Linked DNA regions of Kluyveromyces lactis. The protein of the gene in region 2 binds, or shares a complex with, the protein of the main gene of each other region. Links are inferred from orthologs where the notes say so. Each region holds a gene or a part of one and is shown on either strand. Other genes may lie near its edges. The genes, in order: LSM8, LSM2 and LSM7.

Evidence for each region.
Region 1: the proteins of LSM2 (region 2) and LSM8 are in contact, whole or in part, in a crystal structure (PDB 4M78), measured with the Saccharomyces cerevisiae proteins. The link is inferred for Kluyveromyces lactis from reciprocal best matches to the Saccharomyces cerevisiae genes LSM2 and LSM8. Residues at the interface, in NP_009527.1 of Saccharomyces cerevisiae: Phe4, Lys8, Val11, Leu19, Asn21, Ile23, Ile25, Ser31, Val32, Asp33, Phe35, Lys39, His53, Leu54, Gly55, Ser56, Val57, Arg58, Asn59, Ile60, Phe61, Ile62, Arg63, Thr66; in NP_012556.2 of Saccharomyces cerevisiae: Met1, Ser2, Ala3, Thr4, Leu5, Asp7, Tyr8, Ile16, Val18, Asp19, Gly20, Lys32, Asn33, Thr34, Arg44, Gly58, Ser59, Glu60, Ile61, Ala62, Leu63, Val64, Gly65, Leu66, Ile67.
Region 3: LSM2 (region 2) and LSM7 share a complex: the UniProt entries of both Saccharomyces cerevisiae proteins name them as parts of the spliceosome U4/U6-U5 tri-snRNP complex. The link is inferred for Kluyveromyces lactis from reciprocal best matches to the Saccharomyces cerevisiae genes LSM2 and LSM7.

The regions. Positions count from the first base shown.
Region 1 is NC_006041.1:1,467,157-1,469,503, reverse strand, and holds LSM8 (U4/U6-U5 snRNP complex subunit LSM8), read left to right. Parts: upstream 1-1,455; coding exon 1,456-1,746; downstream 1,747-2,347. Other genes in the region: TDA10 (putative ATP-dependent kinase), read left to right, coding at 1-417; methylthioribulose 1-phosphate dehydratase MDE1, read right to left, coding at 1,785-2,347. UniProt on the Saccharomyces cerevisiae protein: Component of the nuclear LSM2-LSM8 complex, which is involved in spliceosome assembly. The LSM2-LSM8 complex plays a role in the biogenesis of the spliceosomal U4/U6-U5 tri-snRNP complex by accelerating PRP24-mediated annealing of U4/U6 di-snRNA.
Region 2 is NC_006042.1:855,196-856,904, forward strand, and holds LSM2 (Sm-like protein LSM2), read left to right. Parts: upstream 1-860; coding exon 861-1,148; downstream 1,149-1,709. Other genes in the region: GDI1 (Gdi1p), read left to right, coding at 1-456; KLLA0_F09229g (uncharacterized protein), read right to left, coding at 1,272-1,661. UniProt on the Saccharomyces cerevisiae protein: Component of LSm protein complexes, which are involved in RNA processing and may function in a chaperone-like manner. Component of the cytoplasmic LSM1-LSM7 complex which is involved in mRNA degradation by activating the decapping step.
Region 3 is NC_006041.1:2,036,956-2,039,296, forward strand, and holds LSM7 (Sm-like protein LSM7), read left to right. Parts: upstream 1-1,325; coding exon 1,326-1,337; intron 1,338-1,467; coding exon 1,468-1,788; downstream 1,789-2,341. Other genes in the region: ALF1 (Alf1p), read right to left, coding at 372-1,124; FUR1 (uracil phosphoribosyltransferase), read left to right, coding at 2,328-2,341. UniProt on the Saccharomyces cerevisiae protein: Component of LSm protein complexes, which are involved in RNA processing and may function in a chaperone-like manner. Component of the cytoplasmic LSM1-LSM7 complex which is involved in mRNA degradation by activating the decapping step.

The DNA.
Region 1 (2,347 bases), on a different chromosome or scaffold from region 2:
GGATGGTTCCTTGGGTTCCAAGCCATTACAGAAACAGAATTGGAAAGGAAAAATTCGTCACCTATACTGTTGAACCACCAGTTGTTACATCTGAAACAAGTGAACCGTTCGTTGAAAGAGTACGGACAATTGCTATGGAATAATGAGTCATTGGATACTGTCGGTATCAAGTTCGCAACTGACGACACCAACAATGTATATAGGTGGAGGTTACAACAAGAGCATGCTATGCTAGCATCTCAGGGCGAAGGAATGACTGATGCGCAAGTGAAGGCGTTTGTTGATAGATATATGCCTTGTTATGAACTATATTATAAAAACTTCATTGACCCGAACACCGCGTTCGGCAAAACAAATCTTACCATTGCCATCGATGCCGACAGAAATGTGGTCAATCATTTCATTTCGCACTCTTGAACTTCTTCCCAGGGGATTAATACCCTGAGTCGTTGTGTCTGGTTTTGATTTAGGTGTTGAGATTCAGGCGTAGCGATAGATTCATGTCTCAATCTTTTCTCAAGCAACGCCTGCCTCTTGCTAGCTAACCTCATATCTTCATGCAACGTCTGGATGGCATCCGTGAGGTCTTGCATTTGTTGCACGACATTGAACATGACATTTTCATTCATGGTAAATCTGTCCATCCATTCTCGATGTCGTTTATCCATCTGCTTCGTAATATTATCCGCTAAAAGTTGCAAACTTTCACCGCTTGATGCCTTTAATTGATCCAAACGAGACTTTACTTCAGAGACAATCTCCGTTCCCGTTTCTTGATTACCATCTAAATACACACAGAAATAACGGCGACTTCTCGGAGTCTCATCCGTTATTTTCCTAGTTAGTAAAAACTGACCGTAGTGACTCTTACAAAGAATCATTCCTAAAGGGTATCAATCAACGACCAATCCACGTAGATAGAACTAAGTAAATGCCCTTATACTAAGTAGATATTCCTTTCATTGTGCATAGAAACCATACCTTTTCTACTGTCAAGTTCTGCTTGGAATAACTTTCGCGAATGGCTCAATTCATCCACGTTCTCCTTGATAATCTTGAATAGACTCTCAGACGTGTCCCGCAACTGCACAGTCTCCAACTCTAGACGACTAGTCCATTCTAAGATCTGTTTGTCGGCGTCTGGAATCTTTTTAAAGGGAGAAGACCCGTAATCGGTCTCACTTTCATTCTCTTCCGCCATTTCAACCGTGATTCGGAGCTTCTAACAATATTAGCCACAACACAACTCTAGATAACTGCTGTAGAAGCCTGTATACTTCTGTTATGATGTGTGATTCTTCTTTGTTGAAGATGTTGTTGTTATTGATAATAGAGAATCTTCAAATAGAAAACATTACTTTCAAATTATAATAGTAACGAAGAAAAGATAACGATCCATCGGAGCGAAGATATCCACATAACTGCCCCCTTGTTTGCTAGAACAGTGAATGGACAATGAGTGCTCTATTGAAAGATTATTTGGACAAGAAGGTGATGTTGGTCAATGTCGATGGAGACACATACTATGGTGAAATGAAAGGGTTTGATCATGCGGGAAACATGATTCTTTTAAAGGACAGCAAGATATGCATTATACGGAGTAGTGAAGTGGTATTATGTGGGCTGATAGATGATATACCAGAAGAAAAAGAACTGGCAAAACTTCAGAAGTTCCCAGCGTGTAAGAATAAGTTACCGTTTAAAGAAGAAATAGACATTTGGAGTGAGCGATGGGCTAACAGATGAAATATAAATAATGTTATACACAGCTGCTGGTCTCCCTTTCATTGACCGAGTTCTTTCATTTTGAGAGCTACTTCAAAGAGGTAATCGATGGACTCGATGTATATCTTGGCTTTCTTTGGCGTGGGGCCCCAAACGAAGAGTCCATGTCTTTTCACCAGTACCGCACATGCATTTGGATAATCCTTAATCATTTGCTTCAACGCTGGCATGAGATCCTGTTCTTCTGGAGCGTTATCGATGATTGGAATACGTAGGGTATCAACGTTCCTCAAATTGGTACCGTCACCTTTGGGTATCGCCTTGATTTGTTCAATGTCCTTGATGGTAAACTCCTTCTCATATATCATTGAACAAAGCACCGCATTGATAGAGTGCGTGTGTATGACGCACGAGGCACCCAGCGTCTTGAATAGCTCCAGGAATAACGGTGTGCACGCAGAGGGTTTCAATCCAGGCGCACCACATTGATAAGTATCGTCCTGTATATTGTATTTAACAATTTGTTCAGGTTCCAACAGTTCTTTCTCAATGCCACTTGGTGATATGTATGCGATGTTGTCCTGTTTAATGCCGATACCACCACCTGTACCGAGCACCCATT
Region 2 (1,709 bases):
TGTAAAACTACAGGTGAAAAGGTGATCAGAGCAATTTGCATCACTAAACAACCTGTTCCTAACACTAGTAATGCTGATTCTTGCCAAATAATTATACCACAATCACAAGTTGGAAGAAAGAACGACATTTATATTGCTACTGTCTCTGACGCCCATAAAGTTACTTCGAAGGGTCATTACCTCGCCAGTGTATCAACCATCATTGAAACTGATAAACCTCATATCGAATTAGAGCCGGCTTTCAAAATGTTGGGCCCAATTGAGGAGAGGTTCATGGGTATTTCAGAAATCTTTGAACCGATCGAAGATGGCACTAAAGACAACATTTACATCTCTAAATCTTACGATTCCTCATCTCACTTCGAATCCATGACCGACGATGTCAAGGATATCTACTTTAGGATTACTGGTCACCCCCTTGTTTTAAAGAAGAGAGAAGATGTTGCAGAGGAGTAAGTGAGAACTACGAGATAACCGTGATGCTAACTTTTGAAAATATCGTACCTTCACGTACTTCTACGTACTTTTACGTTACTTTCTTGTTTCGTTACAATCTTTATCATTATCATTTTATTTTTGTCTATTTACTATCTAGCCCCACATATTAGCTTGAATGTTTTGGCAATAGTTTTATTTCAGCAATCGACGTAAAAATATCCCAGCTAGTCCTCTTAAGTCCAGCAGCTTCTCTACTTCTACATATGAAGTTGTGTATGTCAATTTTGTACATGTATCTTTTTTTTTTCCTTCAACATGAAATTGTTTAAAACAATTTCATGTTGAAATTTGACAATACAACTACAACACATTCAAAAGTCAAATGCATGGACCTCTGAACCAAGGCCGTACTGTCCAGAACCATGCTATTATTTTCATTTTTCAAGACCCTGGTTGATCATGAAGTCAAAGTCGAACTAAAGAACGGTATTGAACTAACAGGTACTCTAAAATCAGTCGACCAATTTTTGAACTTAAAATTAGACAACATTTCGTCCAACAATAATGAAAAATATCCACATCTATCAAGCGTGAGGAACATGTTCATCAGAGGTTCTACTGTGAGGTATGTACATTTGAAGAAATCTATGGTGGATACCAACCTACTTCAAGATGCAACCAGAAGAGAATTAATGAGTGAAAGAAAGTAAACGAAAGAAGCAGCGAAAAACAGGGTTCCTGCTGCAGAAAGGAATAATTTATAACTGTTAAATATCATTCGAGTCTACCACTCTCACACTATTCACATATGTAATAATAGAACACATTACCTATCATGGTGGAACTCCCAAGAGTTTCTTCTCACATTTTGATCGGAGGTGTCCAGTTTCATTGCAATAAGAACATTTAATGTTGTTAGCTTTAGACTTTCGTTTTCCAAATTTGGCTTGTTTAGGAGTTCTTTGTACTGGAATTAGAGCATATTCTTGACCGTCTTTCTGAATAATCTCAATTTGTTTCGAAATCATTTTTGAGAACTTCTCTTTATCCAGTTCAACGGATGTAATCATCGAGATGAGCTCATCAACGTTCTTCAGTTTGTTCTCGTATTCCTCTTTTAAAGACGGGAGAGTCGACTGCTTTTTTTGGGACTGAGATAACACTAGTTTGGCTAGTTGATCAAGCGCCTCAGACTGTTTAATAATCTTGTCTGCATCCGCCATGATAGAGCTTGTGGTCACTGGGGTTATCCGATACCACACTTCCTACTC
Region 3 (2,341 bases), on a different chromosome or scaffold from region 2:
TCAAATCACATGACCTCTTCTCAAAACACTTCAAAGTAACGAGCATCCACCTTATACTTAAGAGTGAATATTCTTTGAAGCGCTTCAAGGGCTTAGTATGAAGTTGAGAACAGGAAATGAATTGCCATATTTGATCTTTTTGTAACCAGGTTCATATGAACAGAGACTTTGTGTTCTGAGGAAGATTCGAACCGAAGTCGCAACGTGGCCTTTTTACCAGCTACGGCACAACACCCGACTCAAACCAATTACGAATTCATTCAGTAGTAGACCCTGTCACGTGTGTGTCAGGTGTCATTTCCGTAGTTCAGAGTATCATCCACGAGGCCAAGGACGAGAATATAATTAAACTTATGTAAATTATCAACTCCCTATAACTCATCATCTGTGAGCATCAATTCATCGTCAGCTAATGGCGTGAATTGAGGACCTACTTCAACAACGGCAGGTCTCACAAACCCGCCGTAATTCTTTTTTACTGGTCCGAAATACTTCGTTCCTTGGAATGTACCATTGTTCTTACCGTCAGGTTCGTCAAATTCAATTCCACACCATACATCTGTATTACTGATCTCTTGAACTTTTCCCACGTATCGTAACCATCCTCTTCTTTCGGGGACCTTGGTGGAATCGGTCGTTGTTTCCTCGTTGGACAGTACTCTGCATCTTTCTCCAACGTGTTTTTGTAATAGTTCTGCCTTATCGATATTCAGTTGTAGTTGTTCTTCCATCTTAGAGCGGTATTCAGGATTAAATTTCCCTAACTTGTTATCTTTTTTCCATTGTAATACAGAATCCCTTCTGTTCTCATAATCGTCCATGGTGTATCGGAACGAAACGTCATCGCTATTAGCATGTAGCAAATCATTTTTCAATTGGCTTGCTAAACTGTTTTCGTTGGTGTCTATCACTTTTATGGACTGGATTTTCTCTACTTTCTGGTCTTTGAGATCTTTCAAATACTTGCTGTTCTGTGCATTGCCATTTATCACCAATTTCATGTCTTGAACATCAACACCGGTCAATTCGTTCAATCTTTGGCCCAGATGGTCCCATGATGTACCAGGTTTCACAAAGATCTGAGTGTTAACCAAATCGGATATAATTTCCACGTCAGATGACATTATCGGTGCTGATATATCCTCTGTTTTATTTTGTCTTCGATGCTGTAAGTTCAATGTTTGTCGTTTTGTCCAGGCATGTTTGAACATCGAATTTTTCAATGTTCCGTAAACTTAAATGAAAAGTTAATTTGAAACCAGTAACACACTTTGACAATAACCCATTGAGCAAACAGCGCTACCCCACCCAACCAACTACTAATAATGAGCGAAGCAGTATGTTAACTACTATAATTAGGACGGCTTTCTAAAACTTCTTCAACTTTCTCAAAACAATGATCCATTCTACATTTTAAGTTCAAATTTACTAACAGTTAGAGAGTTTATACATTCCCCTTCTCTGCAGAGGCAATCACAACAACCGAGACAAGAGCAGAAGAAGAAGTTCGAAGGCCCAAAGCGTGAGTCTATCATAAATCTTGCACAATATAAGGACACAGAAGTACGTGTCAAGTTCATAGGGGGAAGACTGGTCACTGGAATCCTAAAGGGTTATGACGAGCTAATGAACTTGGTTCTTGACGAAACCGTCGAATATGCAAGAGACCCAGAAGATGAAACCATCATCCACAAGGACCAAGCCAAAAAAATTGGTTTGGTCGTCATAAGAGGAACAGCTCTACTTTCGCTATGTTCCCTCGAAGGTGCTGAGATCATCAATACCTAGTTAAGACCCAAAAAAAAAAAATTTCAAGCAACAGTGTACCATATATGTTCATTAATAGTGCTATATAACGTTCAGTGCTATATCAAACTCACACTATGAGCCCATATCCACATTTCTACCTGTATCTAATGAAATAAGTATCTCCAACGGAGATACTTTCCTAACCGGCTACATCTCACTTATCAAGACCTAATCTGCACAAATGTGCGTTCACGTGACTTATTGAATCTTTTTTCTAACATCAGCAAAGCTTTTTGGTTAAATTTCGACCAAAAAACCGTATCTCATCGCATCGACTGATTAGAGAGATATCTTGAATTCTTTAAACCGACTGCGTCCAGGTGTTCATTTATATATATGTGAGTATATATCTCTTGTGAGAGTTGTTCTTTTAACGTTTCAAATTCTCTTTTCGCTTGTTGCTGCAAATCTGTTTGAATAATATTTTCTGTAGTATTCTTACTCTTTACTGAAGACCAATCAATTAGCGCATCAAAGCGAACTTCACTTAGGTTTATCTGCTGCTAAAAGAAAATAATATGAGTTCTACACA